Linked DNA regions of Drosophila melanogaster. The protein of the gene in region 2 interacts with the protein of the main gene of each other region in a pairwise test. Each region holds a gene or a part of one and is shown on either strand. Other genes may lie near its edges.

Region 1 (4,350 bases), 1.9 Mb from region 2:
GCATATTTAATTGTGCCACCACCAGTTGCAATAAATTGTATCCTATAGCACTTGGTGGTCCGGAACTGCAGTGTCATATGAAATGCTAAAGCAGGTCCTGGCACTTCCTCAGCGAACAAAAAGTTGTGTTTAGTTTTTGCACAAAAACTGTCAAATAAATTTAGCAAGCAATAATATGGCGAAAGCAAATAGTAAAGATTCCAAAACTGAAGAATTGGGCAGATGTACGGTTGAGATTTAATTCTATTTTTCTCAAACGGACAATCGGCGGCTGCGAAAATATCATAAATTTGAGATCAGCAGAGAAAGCAGGAGGGAAAGTGAGGGAAGGTAGGAGCAGGACGGACCGGGAGCCCTTTAACCAATAAATTGCAAAACAATTGCACAATTTTCCACAACAATTTCCACAGGACAGCGATGTCCCATAAACAATGGGCCAAATTTGTACAATGCCCAAAGTTCCTGTTTGTGTTGTCCTTTTCTTGGCGAAAATCGTGAGAGAAGGAAGGAAAAATCGGAAAGAATTGCCTTGCTAGGGTCTAACGACTATAAGATACCTATTATTTAAACCTTTTATATATTTATGTTAGAAAAAGTTGGCAAATGATGCAAAACAGTTTCATCAATTAAACTAAATAATTGTAATCATTATTCCGATGAACTTGTTTAAACAACAACAGAAAGTCTTTTCAATATCAAATGAAAAACTAAAAATCCTTTAAGACCCAATGTTTTGTTCTAACTTCCTGTAACCCACACAATCACAGGTCTAGCATACTCTCAGGATCCCAAAAAAAACACAGGGTATCTTGAGGAGTCCAAGGTGAAAGGAGCCACACGCTGCGAGAAAGGTAATTGAAAATTATGTTTTGTGGCGCAAGCGGCGATGAGAACAGCTGTCCAACTATGCTCCGTCCCACTCACACGCTTCACAAGCGCCGTCCCTTTCTTGTTGCACGTAGGAATCCTTGGCCAACTGATCATGATCCTTCTCGGTGGCCAAATAAAAAATCTCACGATCGTGGAAAATTCGCACAGCTGTTGCCAGATCGTAAATCGATCGGTAAACGGTTATAAAAACTGAACATCAAGATAACGTTAATGTAGATCAAAGCGCAGCCTTCTGCTTTTCAATTTGTATCGCATTATCTAATAAATAGAAATATATTAGATAGTTTTGGGAAGTACGAGTCTACGAGAAGAGGTAATTGTATATATATATATATATATATACCAGATTCGATAAAAGGTATTGAAAGGGTATGCTTTTAGTTATAGTTGTTATCATGGGAAAAGTGAGAAATACGAATATTACAACTTATTTAAATAATTTATATTATTATCAATGTTGCAAAGTATCTTGCATAAGTTATTAAAGTCAAGTGGACTGATATCAGATGCGAAATACCTTTAATTACTATAACAACGAGTGGTCTCCCACCACCCGCTTTCAATGCCGCCGGTTGAACGTGCCTGCCGTTCAACTGCCTGATCTCTCCGCTCTCGCTCTCTTCCCTCTGCGCATGAGCAACATGTCCGTTCGTCGCCTTCTGCTTTCTCCCGGTTAAGGCGGCTAGCCAGTCAGTCAACCAACAACCGGCGAAGGGAACGCACGCAGTCGATCTTTGCCAGAAAAACGCGACGGTTGAAACGCAACACTTGGCAAAAAAAAAGCACTACATATACAAACTACCAAATAATCAATTCTTAAAATAAATCCGCGAACCATTTATTTTATTTTTTTGCTGTTGGAAATAAATATCAGTGCCGAAAAAAATAAACTACTGAAAAAGGTAAATTCAAGTGAACATCTAAAGATGACTGAAACTAAAAATGCAGTCATGTACAATGAGATCTAAAGGCTCATAAAAATAAATGGATATACCTAAAATAAATTACTTAAGTGCCTGTAAGATTCATGAATTCATTCATTAATGGTTATGAATATCTTTTCAAATAATTCCCAACATAACTGGATCAATGCAATTATAAATGCACAAAAATTCAATTTTTCGGATAACTTGTGATTTTTGGTTTTTTGGTATCCACTCAAGAGCCAAATTTGAATGCAACCTAAAAGTTCATTAAGATTTCATAAGAATAATTGAGCATATCAAGTTCAGAGTCAATTAAATTATTAAGGTCCAGACCAAAGGCTGCCCGTCGTCCATTTAATTGTCCGTGAGAGGAGTGGTTGATTTCGTTTTTGATTTCATTTTTGCCGCTTCGCTGATTTCGCCAAATCGATACACATCCATATACATATGTACATATGCATGTATATATGTATGTTTGTCTACATGCACATTTATCGCGGAAAAAGCGCGCCAAAATTGCCGAAAACTCGCCCGACAACTTTGCCGCTGCCCTCTTTATTTATTTGCTCCTTAAGAAAGTCAAGTTCTGGAATGCCAGAACCAGAAATACCCGCCCCCTTCCTAACCAGATTCCTTTGCTCTTTCCTTGCAGCACCCACTACAAAACCGAAAAACTAAAACTTCAGACAAAGAAGATGCTCAAGTGGGCCGTCAACCAGCCACGACCCTCGTACTTGGCCAGGGATGAGGTGATGGCCACCAGCAGCGAGGCAGTCGGCTCCAGCTACAGCGAGTTCCACGCCCTGCGTGGCAAACTCAAGAGGAAGTCGATCGGAGTGGCGCCAGGCAAGGAGAACCAGCTGACCTCCACGCCACTGCCGGCCAGCTCCTTGAGCCTCCATGCGCGCACACCACTGCTCAAGGACCTCAGCAACATCCTGGCCACGCCGCCATCGGGAGGAGCAAGTGGCGCTAATGGGGCAACTGGAGGTGTAACTGCTGTTCCCCTGAAGTTCGCCTGCACACTGCCCACCTTCGAGGCGGAGTACTCGCCCAATGCCGCCATCATTCCTGGCTCCCTGATCGCCCTGCGCGGCATGGGCATCCCGGACAGCTACTTCGAGAAGCCGCGTTACCTGGAGCAGAAGCCACTACCACATCCGCATCCGCATCCAGCACCTCCGACCGGCGAACAGAATACGCTCAGTTCCAGCCAGATGGGCGATGTGACCCTGGAGCGCATGATCGATGCCATCCTCGAGAGCAACCGCAAGGTGCTGCCCAACGCCAGACAGCAACAGCACCAGCATCAGCACCGCCAGCCCAGGCAGCATCTCCGCCAGCGGCACAGGCTCAGGCAGCAGGTGCTCCGGAGCAGCCACGGACACGGGCACGGCCCCACCCAGACGCCATCGCCCACCTACCGCCCCGCCTTCGATCCGGCCAGCGATCTGTGCGAGTACTGGAAGTCGCCCTCGCGGAGGGATTCCCTGCCAGCGGAGGGCTTCGAGGAGCGGGAGGTGCGCTCCCCCGTGCCCACCGTATCCGAATCGCAGGATGCCAAGCGGCATTCCCTGCAGCTGCGCAGGCAGCGGGTGGTGCGGCGCAAGCGAAAGATCACCACAAAGATCTCCTCCAGCGTCAGGCAGTCGGCGCAGAAGCTGCTTGCAGCGGCCAGGTCCGGATCCATAGCAGCTCCCGCCCAGAAGATGCGCCACATCAGTCCGGACAGTGGGCACAATTCCACCAGCGACTGCGAGCTGGAGGAGGAGCACTGCCAGCTGAGTCGCGGACTGGAGTTGGGTGGCGAGGAGCTGGAGGATGCCTGTCAGCTGGATGCCATGTGGTTGCAAGTGCAGGCCAGAGACGCCACGAAGAGACGCCTCAGCTTCTCCCTGGTGGAAGAAAGCTAATCCTCAAGGATATTCCTATACCATAGGCATAAGACATTTTTTTCATAGCCCTAAGAACGTTTTTTTTTTTTTTAATTTTTTGGCCAGAATAAATCATTTGGAATGCAGAATGTACGAAAAGAACCAAATTCACTGAGGGGCACACTGTCATAATTCGGTTGAAACCACAAGGAACCACCAGCAGTTTATGCTAAACACCTCTTGAAGCTCAGCGGTGCGTGGAAAGCAATTCCTCCAGAGCAGAGGGTCTGGGTCTTCTCATCCGTCTGCCCAAGTGGTCTTCTTTCTCACAGCGAGCTGGTTAATGAGCGTTTTAATGCTCCGATAGCGAGCTATAGGGGATTCCTCGGCAACATGGAACATAGAACTTGGCGGTAATGAGGGCCCTAAAAGGAAGGGGTTGTGCGACAATTGTCGCAAGAAAAAAAATATTATTTACGCTTCAAATGCCCACGAATTCGATGGGCAGGCAGCCAGCCAAGTTATGTGCGATCTAACGCGATAAGGTCTAGTACCTGGAAATGGAACAGGTATCACTTGCTCGGAACTCCATTCGAGTGTTATTAGCTCAAAGCGACCTTTGGAAAAGGAAGTTGCCTAACTTTCACCCGGGAAACTGC
Region 2 (7,569 bases):
CTTCGGCGTCTGCTGCACAGTGGGCACCATTGGGATCGTACTGTACCGTCGTCGGTATCTGAACAAACCGCAGGCGCTCAGCGAACCAGACTCGAGTGTCTATATCGATGATAGCACGATGCGGGTGAGTGTAAGGATTCGTTGACCAATTGCCAGTGGCGCTTGAATGTCCTATGCACTAAATAGTTCTCTCTCTTGATTTTGCAGGACAATTCGGATGAGATGTACAGCCTGGACAACGACTCGTTTCTCAATTCGCTGGAGGCGATGACAATACAGAACTACTGGACGGATACGGTCAAACATACAAAGCTTTAATCTCCGGCCTTCCCCGTTGGAAGTCCAATCCCCTCTATCATTTATTGTACGTCTTTGGTTCGATTTCGATTACGATTCTGTTTCGTTTCGCTGTTAAAATTCCATTCCTGATTTGACAACCAGACATCATAATCATTAAGTAGCGTAGTTTTTAAGCGCGTGTATGTATTTACTAATGTTAGGCAACCAAACGAGCAACTAGTTTAAGCCCAAAACTACCAAAATTATGTTTAGTGTACGTGTAGATCCTAAGTGCGCAATGTTTTTGTTGGCCTTGACTGTTAGTTAAAGCCTTTCCCTAACAACTTCCCCACTAACCCGATTTTTGTAAACCAACCCATTGTACTCGTATCTGTTAGTTAATTATTAAACCTTATTTATATTGTTGACTATTTTATCGCCCTTCCCAACCCAAGTCTAATTTTAGAAAACACTATTTATTAAGTTTCCAACTTTGTGTCCAACAATTAAATGCAATCATTCCTTCCAGTTTAGCCTATAGAGCAACTTTACACTGTAATTAATGTATTAAAAGCGAAGCAAGCAAACAACAATTAAAAGAAAACATCACACAACCACACACCGGTGTTGCTAGAATTTTTGGGAAAATAATCCGTGTCTAATTCCTAACTTAATTCATTAAGTTTTCGATGGAAAAACAAAACTTGCTGTTAAAATTTTAATTGCTTGATAAATCTTGAACGAACGAATTATTATCACTGAAATTCTGGCAAGACTGCAAGAAATTGTTTCAATATACACAAATATATAAAACGAATTATAAGCTAACGAAGAACAAGAAAAACTGTTTACTGCCACACAATCCTTGTCAATTTTGCTCATCGAACTTTTATACACCACTTGTACTTGTACTATCCGTTCGAATGTTGCAAATATTAAACGAAAAACAAAACCCAGATGGAGTACATTAATCATTAAATGCTAAACTGATATTATTCGAAAAAGTGTTATCAATTGGCGCGGGAAATTCATCGTACAAGGAGTGTTGGAAAAGTAGACGGTACCGCGTAATTAGGGCAAGGTACAGGAGAAAGGGTAAAGTCAAGTAAAGCTGGGGTGGAGAAGGAAACATATTTAAATATGTTTAAAATGGCTTTTAGCACCTACTTAGGTACGAATTGAATAGTACCCTCTAACGCTGCTCAACACTGTCCGGCTGTTCGCTGTCGATAGCAATCGATAGGCCATCGATGTTCTAGCAGAGACTATCTATATTGCTGCCAATCGCTCTGCGCCAATCGAGTTGCTGAAGGAGTAGTGCAATAAATATGAATTAAATGGTAAATATAAAACCGCGACAGGTGTTGTTTTCGTGCCTATTTGCTGGCCGTGTTGTTGTTGCCGCCGTTTCAGTTGTTGTTGCTCGAGTGCGCTGCGTGTGTGCGTCGTTATGCGACGAGTGTGTGCATGAGTGTGTTGTGTTGTGCGGTGCCCCCACCAAAAAATAACGAAACGAAAAGCAAAGGAGCTGCAAAAAAAATACGACAAATCTATTGATTTTTAACAATACGCACATGGATAGATACACATAACGGTAACGGGGAGTTTGTTTTTTTCCCACGCCTCCAAAGTGCTGAGTGATTGCAACAATCGGCGACAACAAAGGGCTAGCACCAGCACCACCATCGCCCCCTGGCACCACCCACTTGCACCACCCACCACACATCCTTCAACCTTCGCGTGGGTGGTTGTTGTGTCTGGCTGCAGCTTCCTGCGTTTGTTTTGCCTGCGCGAGGACTTTTGGAGGCCAAGTTTACGTGTGCGCAATCAACCACGGACACGGTAGCTCCGGAACTCGGAAACTCGCAAGCTCGGTCAGTGGCAACCGCGGCGGGGGGCCCTAAAAAAGGTGTCCACATATAGACACATGGACAGGCAATAGTGGGTTAATTGCCCGCATTGATTGCGCTGGCCAGCCAGGGGGTCACCACAACCAGAGGTTACCAAACCAGTGCAGCAACAAACCGAAGCTCGAAACAATGGAATACTTATTATTAGCTAAACTCAATTACATTTAACGAGGTGAGCTAGGACCTGTAATAAGATACAAATACACATGAGAATGATTAGGGAATGATTGGGGCAAACCCAATTTAAAGCAATAGGCTTAGGTCCAAAAATAACAAATCAGCAATTTTATAGATTGGCATTTTACTGTGCTGGTTCCTGTTGTCCGTATCGCGTATGTCTAAACACACCCGGTAATCCAGGTATTTCTATGTCGATTTAAATATATAGTACGCAGCGGCAAGGTATCCAGCAAAAGTACGTCATCGACACGACCACCTGTCCCTGATTTTTTTCTGGGCTGAGCTGCAGCGCAGTGAATCATTGCCGCCTTAGATCATCGACTAATCATCCATTCTCCCCCAGGCAGTGGCCCACAGTGAGGCAGCAATCGCAGCAGCAGCAGCGGATGCAGCAGCAGCAGCACTAGAGCAGTAGTTGTAGTAGTATCGAAGCCGCAGTCCCTCATACCTGGAGAATCAAAGTTGTTGGTGCAGCCATGAACTCAAACTCCTGCAGTGACAGCAGTAACGAGTCCATGGTCAATCCACCGCACATACAGATGAACTTTGGCCAGCAGGCGCAGCAGCAGCAATCGCATCAGCACCAGCAGCAGCAGCAGCAGCAGGAACGTTATGTGTGGGAGATGCGAACCCGTAGCCCAAATGTGACGCCAGCCAGCACGGTGCTCAATTCGCCGGATCTCAATGGCGAGCTGTCCTACGTTCCGCTGCAGGGTCTTTCGCCATCGGGCGGAGGTGTTCAGGGATCCGGCAGCTATGGTTCGAATGCGGGACGCGATTCTGGCAGCTATTACTACCAGCGACCGCAGTTGCATCAAATCCGACTGGGTAGGAGTCCGGGCAGCCAGTTTGAGACACGGGATGTCCTGCCACAGGTAATTTAACTTGGAGAATTACTTAGAGGCGTAGTTTCAGTCACTACAATGAGATTTTTCTGCTTTTTCTTTAAGGGATTGGCCAGCCCCGGCTCACCAACGGATGTGGGCAAGGCGGACGGTCAGTGCCTGCGTGATGGTGAGATCGTGGTGTTCGACGACATTGACACAAACTGGATGAACAAGGCATCGAGTGGCCAGCGTCCAGGCAGCAATGAGGATGTCCTCAAGGTGACCAAAATGATTGGACAGCTGCCAATAGCCGAGTACGAGGGTTCACCGCGACGATTTGGAAGTCAACCGAATACAAATACCATTACCATGGGTGGTCCTAGAAAACGTCCGCCGGGTTTCCCGCAAAGAGTTTCGCCCACCACCAGTGTCGCTAATAATGCAACTGCTGCAGCTAAAGCATCCGTGGGCAACCTTATCGATTTGGTCGACCACGAGGAAGAGCGTTCCGGGACGCTTCGCGAGAAAACACCTACTTTCGACTACCTGTACGAATTCTCAGAGACCAGAAAGGTGCTGGAGGAGTTCTTCAAGGCGAATCCGGAGGACGAAAAGCGGTACACGGATTACACCACGGAAAGTGGAGACGATGTCGCTAGCTCGGTGAGTACTACTACTTCCAAGAAGCCTAGAAACCCATTTAATATTGCATTTTGATTGACTAGCAGCCACAAGAGTACCCAGCCACGCCCATGGAGCAGGCATATATAGGACAGCGGTTGGCGAGAATACCTAAAGATGAGCTCTACATGGTTCACCGGTCGCCTACTAAAAAGCCAGTGAGTCATAACGAAATGAAATTCATTAAAATAGCTAACGATTGTTCGATTTCTAGCCCAGTGACCAGAATCCATCGACGGCCTACCAGGAGCATAATGATATTGAGCTGTACATTGATTCGAATAGCCGAAGCAGCGGCGATTTGGCGGACACCGAACTGGAGGCAAATCTGCGCCGACACTCCCGAAACTTTACCCTGTCTCCCGAGACGACGGATTACGATTCGAATTGCGGTGATTTGGACAGTCTGTCTAACGACATTAACTGCCCCACGGATTTTGGTAAACTGTATACGAGCATGCCTGTCCTAGAAGATGGCCTGAGCAGTGGCCACGCCTCCGACACGGAGAACAACGTATCCGTGGTGTGTGACAAGCAGCAATCGTCCCAATCTCAGCCCGTCCACGAGCACAACGGTAATGGCGAGCGGCTGGAGAACGACTACAATGTGATGAGCGCCAGCTTGGCCACATTGACCACAGATGCCTCGCAATCGGCGCTGATAAGCGACTTCGCCTCACTGCCCATGCCCCCGGCTCCGCCTCCATCATCGCCGCCCCAAATCGAGATCGCCGATGCAAGTGAATCCATGACCATGGTCCCAGATGCTGATAATCCACTGGACAGTCACTACGGTGCGGTTTATGCAGCAGCTTTGGGAGGTACTCACACAGAGAAGTCAGCGGGATCAGGACTGGGGGTGACACCAGTAACTGCGGGAGGATCTTTGCCATCGCAGGCTGCTTCGGAAATCCAGGAGGCCATGAAGGAGATACGTTCCGCCTTGCAGCGTGCTAAAACGCAGCCTGAAAAACTAAAATTCTGTGACGAAGTGCTGCCCACGGATCCAGATTCACCGGTTTGGGTTCCACGCAAAGGGACGACGATCTCGACGGCCCAAGGTGCGGCGGCGGATGAGGAACCAGACACCGACCTTGAAACAGATCGTCTATTGGGTCAGCAGAGGCACGATGAGCAGGATTTCTTCGCCGATCAGGTGAGGAATGCAAACTTACAGAGATATCAGCTCAAAATAATTACGAAATAATAATTTTACAGAGCCTGGCTGATAACAATGCCAATGAGGGCACGGATATTGCCAGCAATGGGCATCTAAATGGCACGTCGGACAACAACAATCCGAATCCTATGAATAATAGCAAGCCGCAAACCTACTCGACGGCCACCATTCGACAAGGCATCGGCACCTCGTTGACACCCAATTCGCCGGACATCTGTCAGATTGTGGGCACGACCGACATCTCCATAAGCTCGCCGGAAAAACTGCAGTTCACCAAAAGTCCCACGGGCTCTATTAAATCCCTGAAGGACTCTGCCAACTCGGACAAGAAGGCCAAATCGCGGAACAAAGAGGGTAAGTTAGCACAGTTGTCAACGCCCCTTGTTGTTCGTTTACTGATATGGAAACCGATTCAACATTTCACGCTGCAATTCAAATCTATTTAATGCTGACATCACGTAAGTCTCTGTTACCCAGCAGATGTTTAGGTTTATTAAACTACCCTTATGTGTATTAACAATCAGAAATGAAGACCATTAACGCACTTCGTAACTAATTTAAATAATGTTCGTTCTTAGGTCTCTTGGAACCCAAAGTTCTCATTGAGGGCGTGTTGTTTCGGGCCAGATACCTTGGATCCACTCAACTTGTCTGCGAGGGTCAGCCGACCAAGTCGACCAGAATGATGCAGGCCGAGGAGGCCGTTTCCAGGATCAAGGTAAGTGAAGTGAAAACCTGGTGATGCACACGAAAGCACATCCATTCAAGGAAACCCCGCTAGGTTATGCTCTATGTGTGTGTCTAAAAACTTTCTCGTTCGCTTTTCTCGTTCCCTGCTGCGCATTCCTCTCGATAGGCTTTGGTAAGCGTTCGTTAGCCCCTTTCAGTCGTCAAATGATAGCATTAAGAATTAAATGCATTATATAATATATGATTTGCTATTTTTTTACCAGGCTCCCGAGGGCGAAAGTCAGCCGAGCACTGAAGTGGACCTGTTCATATCAACCGAAAAGATAATGGTGCTTAACACGGATCTCAAGGAGATCATGATGGACCATGCGCTGCGTACTATATCCTATATAGCTGACATTGGCGATCTGGTTGTGCTGATGGCTCGTCGTCGATTCGTACCGAATAGTGTTGTGGATCCATCGATCACCAGTCCATTAGGTGATGTTCCCACTCCGGGCATAGGCGAGGAGGAGTCGCCCCCCAAAGAGCCACTCAGCAAGCACAATCGCACGCCCAAAATGATCTGCCACGTGTTCGAAAGCGATGAGGCGCAGTTCATAGCTCAGTCCATTGGACAGGCCTTCCAGGTACGCGAATATTAATAATATTATTGGCACGTATAATTAACAATCAAAACCTAACCAGGTGGCCTACATGGAGTTCCTGAAGGCGAACGGCATCGAAAACGAGAGTCTGGCCAAAGAGATGGACTACCAGGAGGTGCTCAACAGTCAGGAGATTTTCGGTGATGAGCTGGAGATCTTTGCCAAAAAGGAGCTGCAAAAGGAGGTAGTTGTGCCGAAGGCGAAAGGCGAGATCCTAGGCGTGGTGATCGTAGAGAGTGGCTGGGGATCCATGCTGCCCACCGTGGTGATTGCCAACCTGATGAGTTCAGGAGCAGCTGCCCGCTGCGGCCAGCTGAACATCGGTGACCAGCTGATCGCCATTAACGGCATGAGCCTGGTGGGACTGCCGCTGTCCACCTGCCAGAGCTACATACGCAATGCCAAGAACCAAACTGCCGTCAAGTTCACCGTTGTGCCCTGTCCGCCTGTCGTCGAGGTTAAGATCCTGCGTCCCAAGGCGCTGTTCCAGTTGGGTTTTAGTGTTCAAAATGGCGTGGTAATTATAAAATGCTGAATTTATTCTTCTTATTCTAATCCTTCTAATCATATGTATTTATTTAATGCAGATCTGCAGTCTTTTGCGTGGAGGAATCGCTGAGCGGGGTGGAGTACGCGTAGGCCACCGCATCATTGAGATTAACAACCAGAGCGTTGTGGCCGTGCCACACGATACCATTGTCAAGCTGTTGTCATCCTCAGTGGGCGAGGTATGACGCGTTTTTAAATTCGTTATTCTTATATTAACAATACCTTTCCAATCAGATCCTGATGAAGACAATGCCCACGTCCATGTTTCGTTTGCTCACCGGTCAAGAGACGCCAATCTATATATAAATATATATGCAACTGTTCACACGCCTACGCTGGAATCGAAAAACTATAAATTCGTCAACTGCAACTTGACCAGCTTAAAGTTACATCGATTCGCAAAGAGACCTTAAATTGGAATTTGTTTAGTCTTAAATTGTTCATTGATTATTTGTCTTTATGTATTCACATTGCAAGCATAATTGTAGTTAATTTAAATGAATTGCAAATGTATTAAGTCTACAATGAGATTAATTGTTCGTCGTCAAATCGTTCAGGTGTCCACAGCGACCACAACTGCAATAGAGAGATTACTATTACTGGAGTTACAGAAAATGCTACTTTTT
Region 3 (7,898 bases), on a different chromosome or scaffold from region 2:
CAGTGCCTGGGTCTTGGCCCGGTGTTCTCCACACGGATTGCGGAAGGCTGTCGCCGGGTGGGGAACTGTGGTTGTGGCTGTCAAAAGGTCGTGACTCATTGCAACGGCTGTCAATTAGCTGGCCCTGACCCCGCCTTGCTTACCTTTGCTCAGACCCGTCAGGACGCCTGTGTGACTGTCCACGGAGACCTCCATGGAATCGTTCGAGCTGCACTCACTGTGCGATGACGGGATTCCAACCTTGCCACGCTCGGCGATGGCTAAGGGGTCACGCGACACCGTCACACGCTGCAGGTCGGCACTTGCGCCTGCTTGGTGGTAGTTGAAGCTCTGCGCCGTCAGCGGATTAGCCTGGCTGATTCCCAGCCCGTATCCGCCAGGCTTCTCGCCCAGTTGGTGCTGTTGATGCCACCGCAGGCGCCTCAAGATGTCTTCCTCCGAGTCGGAGCTGGTGTTCTCGTAACGCCTTTTGCGGGCTGCGGGATACTTAAAAGTTAGCCAGTCAGCCCCAATCCCCACGAAACACGGTACTCACTGATCTTCTGCACACACTTGACTGCAAGGTGGCGCTCGTCGCAGCAGTTGATGGCATGGCGGTAGTGAAAACAGCACTTGCGACTGATGAAAAGAAACAACAGGAGCAGTAGAACGAGGACGCCGAAAAAGGCGCCCAGCAAAGTGGTCACCTCGATGGTGCCTGAAAGATTTAACAGTCACGGCTCAGGTCAGAATGGTGTGGTTTGTGGGGTGCATATACATTTTTACGTACCGAGCGTCGGAGTGCTATCCAGTCCAGAAGCGGAGGTAACAATCATCTTGGCTCATGCGAGGATCCTGGCGAACACGAGTCTACTACTCGCAACTCATTGCACCCGGACCACAAGTCAAGTCACTAAAAATTATTCTCACTGCAGCGTGAAAGCAAAAGCTCAGGAATTTGACAGCACAGCGTCGCAGGATAACTGGAATCGATTTTTCGCAAGACAACGACTAGGGATCAAAGCAAAAAAGTCGTTTGGAAGCTGGTGTACTCCGAATTACCCGTTTTTTTGGCCCTTCCGTATTTCGGAACCGTTCATCTGAGATTTGGTTGCAAAATCGTAAAACAAATTATAGAAGGAACAACTATACTGTTCTATCCTATTAATCACTTTCGATTTCTTGAAGGCACGATCCCAAAACTGCGAATCATGCAACGAGAGATTCAGAAATAAAAATCAAACGGCTCAGGATTTAATTCAACTGAATTAGGATGAGCTGCCTTAAACTCGATGGAAAAACTGCTTCAAAGCAAGCACTTTGGAGCTTAATCCCTCCACCCCCAGTGTGTGTACACACAGGGCTCGGAAAAGCTCCGTTTCGACAGTTGCATCGCAGTAACAACTGTTGCTTATTTTTTTGTGTTTGGGAGGATGATTTAAGCTGAAAACTTAGAAACGGGATTCTTTTTTATTGGTTGTGCTGTGCTGTGATTTCTTGAATTGTAATTGTTTAGAATGTCTCGAATAAAAATTCTCTCCGTGTCGTATGCATTCGAAGGTTTAAACGTTAGTCGTAGCCACGGTTTCATAAAATGTTAAGACCAAGACCGTTTGCCTGTTATTGATGTTCAAAAATTTGAACCAAATAATTAAGAAAAGCGGAATTAGTGCATCAGAATTAATGCACATTGTATGCTCCATTCAGGTAATTGTCCGGTTGTTTAAAAAAGAGCCTTATAATTTAGGTCAAAATTTTTAGAGCTACTCATGCTTACATACATGAAATGCGCTGTTATTCGATAGCAGATAACACTCCGAGCAGCAGGTATCGATAATCGCAACAATCGCTGTTCCAGCGAAAGTCATCGCTTTGACGGCACATCGCAGATTGCCCACCTCTAAAATAAATGCCTAATGAATTGGCTCAGTTCCGTTGTGCGCTTAATTTTTTGTCGCTGCTCAAACTGAATGTTTCCGCCTGTCAGAACACCGTATGCAAAACCGTGACCGCGCCCACGCCGTGCTTGAAAGTCCAATACATTTAATCCGCAATTGTGACGCAAGTAAATTTTGGATGGCCAATGCCACTGGGCAAGTGTGAGTGCCGTGTGTGCCAAATTCCGCTGAGACGCTTCTGATAATATGATTATGGCTAAACAGCTAAATATAGTGCTCAGTGCCCCCCACAAAGCGGAATACCGCGGTGGTACCGTGATACCACCTCCTTGGCGTCGATTACTTCGTTTCTTTATTGCTGGTGGAGCTAGCAGGAGGAAGAAAGCCAGTCTACGACGTCATCTTATGTCGTTTCGCTTTTCATTTCGCAGCAGTCACTCGCACACAATGAAAATCGAGAGGGTGGGATGGGGGTGGAACAGGGATTTGAAAACTCGATTTCCCGTACCAAGAGCCCAGACCAGAGTTGAGCGCGTGTCAAAACTTTTCGACACAAAGCAGCACGAAGCCGAACTGGAATCTGGCAAAGTGCAGTCTAAATACATATAATATAACGCTTTTGTATGAAAATAAAAGTTTGTCTAACCTTGAATCTAACAACCAAGGCATTTTTCGTTAGGTATATATGTGTACTTCCAAATATATAAAATATCCTCGCAGAGCTTCTAGAAAATATTCTATTGTAAGCAAGTTTTTGCAGTGGACCAGTGAGCAATGGCGTGGGAATCCCAGCTGTAGATGCTTGGAATTTCTACAAAAACTTACAATGTCGTTTCCCGGTCTTTTGAGCTTTTAAGCTAGTATTCAACTTTCAAGTCAACTCCATTTCTGTCAATCCTAATTTCTTCATACCCTTGCAGAATGTATATTAATTTCAGTTAGAAGGTTTTAACGCAGTGGTGGAGATATTTGCGACCATATCAAGTATATCTATTCCTGATCAATATCGCCAGCCAAGTCAATATCTAATTCACATTTTTTGCCAGGGTTTAAATATTTGCTACAATATAGCTCAAGCAATCGAAGTACATATGTATGTATAGTGCTCTTCGATTGGGTCAACAAACCAAGCGACTCGCTCTTCCAGCTCTTTGTCGCCGTGTGCATTTAGTCATTGATCGCGGGAAGGAGTCGCTGTGGGCCATGTCACCATCTCCATTGACAACGCAGCCTTTCTTTATTGGTGTCATTAAAATTTGTTAAATGGAAAGGTCATTAGACACAGCGGTGAAACCGGTTTGGTTTGGCGGCTTAATTTTCGGTTAACTCGACTGCATAGATTACGCACCAGCCACTTCAATTGGCTGCCAAATACCTTATGCTTATTGGTATGTCTTCACTTGCAGTATGTATATTTGCTGGCAACCACCCACCAACAAAAAAAAACTTGACCCAAAAGCGGCGAATGTTTATTTTCTCTTTATACTTGACTGACGTTCATCTTGGTGGCCAGAGTTTACTGCCAATGTCGTTCTTAGTCAGTTAAAGTGGGAGTAGATACAATTATCTTGAATCCAAGCTACCGCCTATTTTCATCCCGAACGTATTACTAGATGTTACATACTAATAGAAACAACGCTTAAAACTGGTAAATAGGTTTTTTAGTTGAACTATCAATCGTATTGTAAACTGTTAAACCTCATTGACAATTTTATAGACACAAAACGCTGATTTAGGGCTACCGCTGGAAAATTCTATTATCTGTTAGTGAATTCGTCTAAATTCATTTGTAGATCAATAAGTGAATAAATGTTTATTGTTCGTCAATTAAGTGCCATTCCACTGGTCTGTGCCTGCATACATTTAAATGTTTTTACATTGTATATTCTGCAACCACAGCACAGTTTGTGACGGTGGTCGTGCAAGTGTTTGGAGAAATCGTACGGCTGTTTCCAGGGATTGCATACGTAACTTGAGGATTTTTCTTGCTGTTTCACTTCTGTTTATTGTCTCCCCCAAGTGCACTAGGTACAAACATCGAGTCTTTCGTGGGTTAATTTCTGTGTGCTTCCAGTTTTTATGGTCCACTGCGGAATCGCACGAATGAAAAACCTCGCTTAACAATACTTAACTATCCGTATTTTTTCTATTTCAGAAGCAACATGAGCGTTTTGCGGGAGGAAACGACAACTTCCAGCCAGAGGGAGATAAGCACAAACGGCGGTGGGTTGGATTTCCCCGCAGAAGTGACGTCGCTGATTGCTGGCAACAGCTTTTGCTTAACGCCAGGAAATAACGGCGGGATCGGTGCCCAGAAAAAGGTCACTACTGGAGCGGGTCTGAACAGTACACAGAGAGGTGAGCGAGATCATCGTCCGAAATATTGAATATCCGTTAATCTAGGTTGTTTATAAAGTCTATTTTAAAGAACTTGGTATTATAAACTCAAAATTCACATTAAATTCCAAATCAGTGAGTGAAATGTTAAATAAATACAAAACACAATAATAAATCAATTAGGTTAATTTTGTACATTACGCCTTTTATAATTCCCTGCAAAGTTAAGAAACCTCTAAGTTTCTTCTGTGTTGTACTAATTTTGATATAATAAACATGTTATATTGCATTTTTTGATCTTAAGGTTCCTTTTATTTTTAGCCACTATAATTACGAAAAGATTTAATCTATTCAAACTGACTGATTTCACGGTCAGTAATCGACTTAATTTTATTTGTTACGATGCCTTTGTCCGAGATATATCATTGAAATAACGGAAACTATTTACCTAACTCCCGAATTATATAAGGTGGGCAAAATATATACTGTTTGTTTAAAATTAATATTACAGTATAAAGTACATATGTATATTAAGTAAGTATATGAGTATACATACATCTGATTAAAAAGTTGAAAATGTTCAATAGTGTGGGCGTGGCAGTTTTAATCAATAGAAATTAACAATATATACAGTCAAATGACAACAAATTAGGGGTGGGAGTGTCAGCTTTGGTTAGTTGCAAAACAAGCTTGCTTCTTATTATGAAATTTATAGTATCCGAGACCTCGACGGACATACGGACATTGATAGATCGACTCGGCTAGTGATCCTAATCCAGAATATGTATATTTTCAAGGTTCGGTGACAATCCCTCAACATTTAGAAGCATTTCTGAGTAATTTCCTTGCTCTCCTTACTGGCCGTTTATCGAAAGGGGCATCGAGTTTGCTCAATCTATAAAAACCAAGTATTTGCTTGACTTAAAGAAAACCGTTTGGTTTTAACAATTGAAAAACGAACCAAAATAGTCTTAAAATTGCTTCAAATTGCCCCAGACGTTTTTCTGGGCTAAAGTAACTTAGACAACTCTAGTTTAGCCGCCGAGTTGAGCGTTACGTCCGGAATTGTTGAATTCGTGTAATAGTTTTCACTTTGTCAATGCTGGAAGTGAAAGCCGTGAAGCCTTTAGCTACGTAATCTGTCCACACTAGGACCTGCACTATTGAAATTGTCAAGATGACCTCAAATTAAATTCTCCTTCAGCTACGGATGCCACCAAGCGCAAGAAACTAAGGTCGCGTAACGTACCACCTTCCCCATTGGCCCAAAAAACTGAAGCAGCGGCGACCTCTCTTAACCAAACGAACATCGGTGAGGTCAAGAGAACCGATATTAACTATTCCAACGATCACCTTGATGCCTGGTTGGAGAGCTGTTTACGTGATGCCACCAACGCCCAATTGTCTTCTTCATCTGAGTTTTTGGACTTCATACCGCCCACAGCACCAGCTCATAAGCAAATGTTTTTGACTCAACAGCAGCAGCTGCCGCAGCTTAAACAGCAACTACAGCAGCAGAGGCAACAGGAATTTTCGAAGCGAACCCAGCCTTACGGAGTGGGTCCAGGCACACCGTTTAGCCTGGGGATACAGCGCGTGAGTAGTTGCTATTGCAAGATATTTTGTACAACGCACACCCAACTTTATTTTATTTTTACAGAATTCGAACTCTCTTAGCCATCGATATCCGATGCTCTTCCCACCCCAGAGCCTTAACAGCTATGGTGATGGTGGCCAGGAGTTTGCAAGCTTGCCTCCCCTGAACAACATGATGGGAGGGCCGGAAGGGCTTGGGTGCGATCAGGAACCGAATTCGACGGATGTGCTGGATGGCAGCGAAAGCAATCCCAACTTTACCAAGGGGTAAGCAAAAACAATAAATTCGTAATGAATTATTAAAGAGCCGTACTTACCGTGTGATAACAGATTTCGGTTCAGCGATCCGTGCCTACTGAACCCCTCCGATAATGACTCTAAGCTGAGTGGCCAGAATACACCAGAGTGTCGAAATGTGAACAACAATGGCAGTGGCTGTGATCTGGCACATCAAAACAAATTTTTCGCGGCTCTAATGGAACAAATAAACATATTGCACGACACCAATTCCAAGATCTGCCGGAATTTGCATAATACAAAAGGTGTGTGGTTTGTAGGATTGTGTCCAGTTTAGATGTCACGATGCTTCCCAAATTACGACAAAATTACACAAATCTCTGATTTATTTTACTTGTACTCGTATGCTAATTAGAATGTGTTGCCACCCATTTCCTCTTTCTATGTACTCCCTTGCACTTGCAAACACAATCATAGTTGATATCGAAGCTTTAAAGCACTCCCCTAATAGCCAGCACTGGGCAGGTGTAGGCTTTGGGGGCATGCGGCACCGTAGAGATAGCTTAAGCGGGCTAAGCACACAAAGTCAACCTCTTATTCTTGGCAGTGGATTGGGAGGGACACACAGCCCAGCGCCCACATTTCACTCAGGTATAACATAAACGCTACCCCCAACTATGCCATGCAAAGGAGTGAGTAATAAGTTATATTCGCTTCCCATTTTTCAGGCGCCTACACTCCAGGAATGATGACGGATGTCGTGCGGGAAGTGAAGGAGGCAGCGCGCATACGCGAAGATGCACTGCTAAGTCGGTAAGAAGTCGAAAATTAAAAAGTATATTTAGAGTGTTGATTACATTTTGTTCTCAGAGTAAAATTAATGGTTGAAGAACGTCAGTGTTCCTTAAACGAGGGAAATGTCCGAATTCTGAGAGATATAGACGATCTAAAGGTGAGTGCTAAAATAAATGTGCATAAAAAGCTAAAAGCTAAAAATTCGATTTCGGTTGTAGACCCAAGTAATGCAGTTGCGACTGGAGAAAAAGGAGACTAACAAACGCCTCTCACATCTGGAATCCGAAAACAAGTGCCTTCGTCAAGCTCTGGCCGGTTGTTATAACCAGCGGCCAATCAGTAACGACATTATTTACGAAAATGACCGATCCCATGGATTCCGAAAGCCATTTCCGAATGGGGGTGGCGGCGGAGTTGTGGGTTCCGGTGCCCTCGGAATACGACGGGCAAAATCTTTAAACCTTCATTATGGAACAATGCATCAAACGCCTATCCAAACGACACACTCTTTGGAAGAGGACGACGAAATAGAAGAGGAGCAGTTAGTAGAGCAAGTAGGACTGGACGGAGAAGAATTATCCCTGACTGGCAACAACAGTTTATCGTGTTTGAACATCGGTCATCAATCTCCCTCCAACTTAACGCCTCACTCACAGATACCTAAATCAGAAAAGCAAGCAGTTAGAAGCCCTCCCTCTTTTGCGCTGGCTTCTGACCAGATCAATCCGGGAATTCCACCGCCATTGCTACCACGAAAGAAGGACCACGCTCATCTAAAGCGGGAGCGCAGCGAGGCGGCCTCCGTACGTAAGGAGACAAATCAACGTATAATTGCGTGGGTGTAGTATATGCTCTGTTCTACATTTTTAAACTAACCCATCACCGTTAACTTTCACTTGCATGGACGTTTTAAATATACGTTTAGTCACATTCTACTAATCATTTTAATCACTATCTGAGCTTGGTAACTAATCCTAAAACTTACAAATTGTACACTTCCTTTTTATCTTTCAATGGTTATTTATACTGGGCAACATTATAGCCTTGAGAAATTGG
Region 4 (3,453 bases), on a different chromosome or scaffold from region 2:
CACCTTTGTATGCAGGAAATGGAGCAACCGGAGAAATCCCGCCTGGGATGCACAAATCAAATGTGTCGGCTGACATGCCATATGGTGTGCCTGGCCAATTACCTTCTGGGCGACGAGCCAGGTCATTACATCCCAGTTGGAGGAGAGTGTCCGCTTTGTGAGACTCGTCTCAGCTGGGCAGCACTGCTGCAGCGCAAACGTCTTCTTTTGGGCGTGCCTGAAGAACTGCAGGATCATGACGAGGATCTGAGCGACGACATTGATGTAGACAGCGATATTGAAGATACCCCGGAGCTCAGCGATTAGTTGAGGACCCATTTCATTTTATTTACAAATGCTAAGGTATCGCATAAGCTAAAAGTATCTAGGCAAACACCATCTTAATGCGCTTGTAAAAGTAAACATTTTAACTAAATACTTTAAAAATATTTCCAATAGATAATACTGAGTATAATTTAGATTTGTTTGCGGTATTTAAGGTTTAAACGAAAGAAATTAAATGCTGAAATTTAAAGTGTAACAAATTAATTAATATTTATCAGTATTTATTCTCCAAGTATAATAAAATAAATTATTAGGTTTGTTTCCCAATTCGTCAGGTGCTTTTAAACTAAGATAACGTTCAGTAAATTGACAGAAGAACAACATGTATTACATTGATAAAGTTAAAGGTCAAGGTGGGAAATATGTTTCTTAATGCTTCTTAAAGCATTTTTATAGTCTTGCAAAAGTTTAGCCATTTTCCGCTTTTCCTGCAAGTAATACTCCATAGACATTTGTACGTACTCCTGTCCCTTGAAGTTGAACACAGACACTTCAGTAGTATCTATATTGTCGGGTTCTGCTCTAACTCGGCCTGCATTCGGATTGGGTTCCATTTTCACAGCTTCCTTTAGAGCAATGACAATGGAAGATTCCTTCGGGCGCTTCTGCGGTGGACTATCGTGGACTGCGTCAACTGAAAATAATGTTAAAGAAGTTAATAAAGCATTAAGATGCAACACCGACATGATGAATCCAACCCGCTCTATTTCGAAGGCCCGGTGGATTTATAGTACTTACTTGTAGTAACTGAGGTAGTGTCCACATTGTTGATGCTGAGCTCATCGTCGCTCAGGTTTATATAGTAGCTCTCATGCGAAGTGGAAGCCACTTGTTGGGGCTCCTCCTCCGGCTTGCTACTGCTTTCCTCGTACGGAAACGGCACTGCCTCGCCGACGAGGAGCGTTCGGTTCTTAGAGGAGGATATGAACTTGCGGTCAAAGTGAAGGGAGCACATAAAAAGCTGGCTATGGGGAATCTTTGGATGCACTTGGCCGTTTTCGTGCCAGATTCTCGCCCTTTGCGGTTGTTTGGGAAAGGCAAACAGGGTTCTTCCTTTGGTCAGCGCGTTTTCGTGGCCTACGTAATAGTATTCACAGTCCTTGTACGCACAAGACCTTGTCGCCATTTTAAATAAATTTAAATAATTACGAATCTTAATAATTAAGTAAACAGTACAAATCGTGTACGAAGCATTCGTTATCGATACATATCGAGGCGTAACGAGGATTTGGATTTTCAACTCGTTTCCACTTTTCTGCGTTTTGAAATATTTTTCTTTGGAGTTTTAATTTTTAACAACACAGGCGAATGTGCAAATAATGAATTGGGATAACGTGTTAACAATGACAATTAATAAAGTTGCAGCAAATATGTACCTGTTTTTCGTTTTTGTTAATTTCAACAAAATTTAATTTAATTCGGAAGTAAAATATATCGCTAAATTGTCACCATCCGAACGTTTTTTTGCAAGTTCTCTCCAAGATCCTGTCAATCTGGCAGGTCTGCCAAGAAACGGGAAAAAATTCTCGTTTTGCCATTTGTCTTTCACGTTGTTTTCGTCTCCAACCCACATGGATTACTTGAAGCTGTGTTTGTGCGCGTCAAGAATGGAATAGACACCATGACCATATCGGATTCGGAACTCGACAGCAGCAAGGGCATCGACCTGACATTCAGGAGGAGAAGGAAGGCAGGTTCCGTCGCCTGCGAAGGATTTATCACCACGTACCATGAATACTGCAGGAACACTTCCATACATGGTGTCCAATATCTTGGCGAGCAGGAGCGCCCCTTCCGCGAGCGCATCTTTTGGCTGTTCGTGTTCCTGATCTCGATCTACGGCTGCTCCACGCTGATTCAAAGTGCCTACACCAAGTGGACCGAAACGGTGCGAGTCCCTAGTAGAACATACCATACATACATATGTATATACGTAGCATCAGTAAAAGCTCTCTGAAACAATAGCATTTAAAGTACAGATCCTTCAAAATTGCGATGTATTATGCGATATATTATGCACCCTAACTGTTATGTTTTATAAATATAAGAACACTACAGGGTCTTCTGTAAAATGAAAAGTGCTCTTGCTGCCTTCAGCCGACAACAAAACTAATATTTTGCGTTTTTTTAAAGCCTGTGATCGTTAGCTTCGCGGAAAAATCGACCCCCGTGTGGAACATCCCGTTTCCGGCGGTCACAGTTTGCTCGGAGACCAAAAGGGTGCTAAAGCAGAAAGGTTTGTTATTCGGGAAGCCTCTAGTTGTACAGACTATGAATATTAACATGTAACCTTTGTCTGACAGGAAAAGAGACCACTTATGCTGATCTTTACAGCCAGTTCAGCGAAGATATGCGAGCTTCGCGGGTGTTTAGGCCCGAAAACGTTAGTGCCCTTGAGATGGAGGAGTTCCGCACCCTGCTGCACGTATGCAACACGCAGATCATTGAAGAGGACATACCCTTGATAGCCGGCGATGACTTGGACTACTTTGATGTTCTGCAGCGGATGCTGCCCCAGTTTGATCGGTACTTCTTTTACTGCCGCTGGCTTAGTCGTTTCGGCGAGTGCGAGACCTTCTTCCGAAAGACTCTTACGGAGGAGGGCATCTGCTATACGTTCAATGGGCTGAGAGCCACTGAGATATACCGGGACGACACCTATCAGTATCAACACAGCGGGGAGCCCCTGGAAATGGAAAATATTAGCTCGCAGCATACGGCCTGGACTCTGGAAACGGGCTATGCACTGGACAGCGATGTGGAGACCTTTCCGGCTCGTGTCTTAAGTGCCGGAGCGCGATCTGGCATTTTCTTGGCCCTCCAAAGCTTTAAGCAGGAGGTGGACTACGCCTGTCGAGGACCTGTGCAGGGATTTAAGGTGGGAAAATTTGAAAACGTAGCTGTTTGCTTTTTCTTGCTCCAATATGTGTCTACAGTAATGCCAATCTACAGGTACTGCTTCATGCGCCCGATGACGTCCCGCAGGTTTCCAAACAGTTTGTGCGCATTCCCATGGGCAAGGAGGTGCTGATCGCAGTGAAGCCCAACATGATCACCATGTCGTCGGGAATAGCAGAGTACCATCCAGTTCGGAGGCAGTGCTTCCTCAGCCACGAGCGGTCGCTGCGT

The links.
Region 1: the proteins of X11L (region 2) and CG12708 interact in a two-hybrid assay, tested with the Drosophila melanogaster proteins (one large-scale study listed by BioGRID).
Region 3: the proteins of X11L (region 2) and CG9795 interact in a two-hybrid assay, tested with the Drosophila melanogaster proteins (one large-scale study listed by BioGRID).
Region 4: the proteins of X11L (region 2) and Dlip2 interact in a two-hybrid assay, tested with the Drosophila melanogaster proteins (one large-scale study listed by BioGRID).

What each region holds. Positions count from the first base shown.
Region 1 is NC_004354.4:15,673,895-15,678,244, forward strand, and holds CG12708 (uncharacterized protein), read left to right. Parts: upstream 1-1,581; 5' UTR 1,582-1,793; exon of another isoform or gene 1,794-1,909; intron 1,910-2,469; 5' UTR 2,470-2,512; coding exon 2,513-3,730; 3' UTR 3,731-3,843; downstream 3,844-4,350.
Region 2 is NC_004354.4:17,598,061-17,605,629, forward strand, and holds the start of X11L (X11L), read left to right. Parts: upstream 1-1,547; 5' UTR 1,548-1,619; intron 1,620-1,930; exon of another isoform or gene 1,931-2,361; intron 2,362-2,712; 5' UTR 2,713-2,845; coding exon 2,846-3,244; intron 3,245-3,319; coding exon 3,320-3,859; intron 3,860-3,921; coding exon 3,922-4,035; intron 4,036-4,091; coding exon 4,092-5,033; intron 5,034-5,095; coding exon 5,096-5,411; intron 5,412-5,635; coding exon 5,636-5,775; intron 5,776-5,913; coding exon 5,914-5,919; intron 5,920-6,010; coding exon 6,011-6,376; intron 6,377-6,434; coding exon 6,435-6,911; intron 6,912-6,981; coding exon 6,982-7,122; intron 7,123-7,177; coding exon 7,178-7,249; 3' UTR 7,250-7,569. Other genes in the region: CG12991 (uncharacterized protein), read left to right, coding at 1-124, 187-318.
Region 3 is NT_033777.3:4,317,813-4,325,710, forward strand, and holds the start of CG9795 (uncharacterized protein), read left to right. Parts: upstream 1-1,870; 5' UTR 1,871-1,974; coding exon 1,975-2,078; intron 2,079-4,032; coding exon 4,033-4,235; intron 4,236-4,535; exon of another isoform or gene 4,536-4,683; intron 4,684-5,418; coding exon 5,419-5,810; intron 5,811-5,874; coding exon 5,875-6,077; intron 6,078-6,140; coding exon 6,141-6,352; intron 6,353-6,524; coding exon 6,525-6,698; intron 6,699-6,775; coding exon 6,776-6,860; intron 6,861-6,917; coding exon 6,918-6,999; intron 7,000-7,060; coding exon 7,061-7,677; coding exon of another isoform or gene 7,678-7,687; exon of another isoform or gene 7,688-7,884; coding exon 7,885-7,898. Other genes in the region: Syt14 (synaptotagmin 14), read right to left, coding at 1-77, 144-476, 536-697, 770-815.
Region 4 is NT_033777.3:4,644,119-4,647,571, forward strand, and holds Dlip2 (dorsal interacting protein 2), read right to left. Parts: upstream 1,538-3,453; 5' UTR 1,451-1,537; coding exon 1,063-1,450; intron 959-1,062; coding exon 666-958; 3' UTR 531-665; downstream 1-530. Other genes in the region: nuclease slx1, read left to right, coding at 1-306; rpk (ripped pocket), read left to right, coding at 1,946-2,212, 2,458-2,560, 2,628-3,220, 3,277-3,453.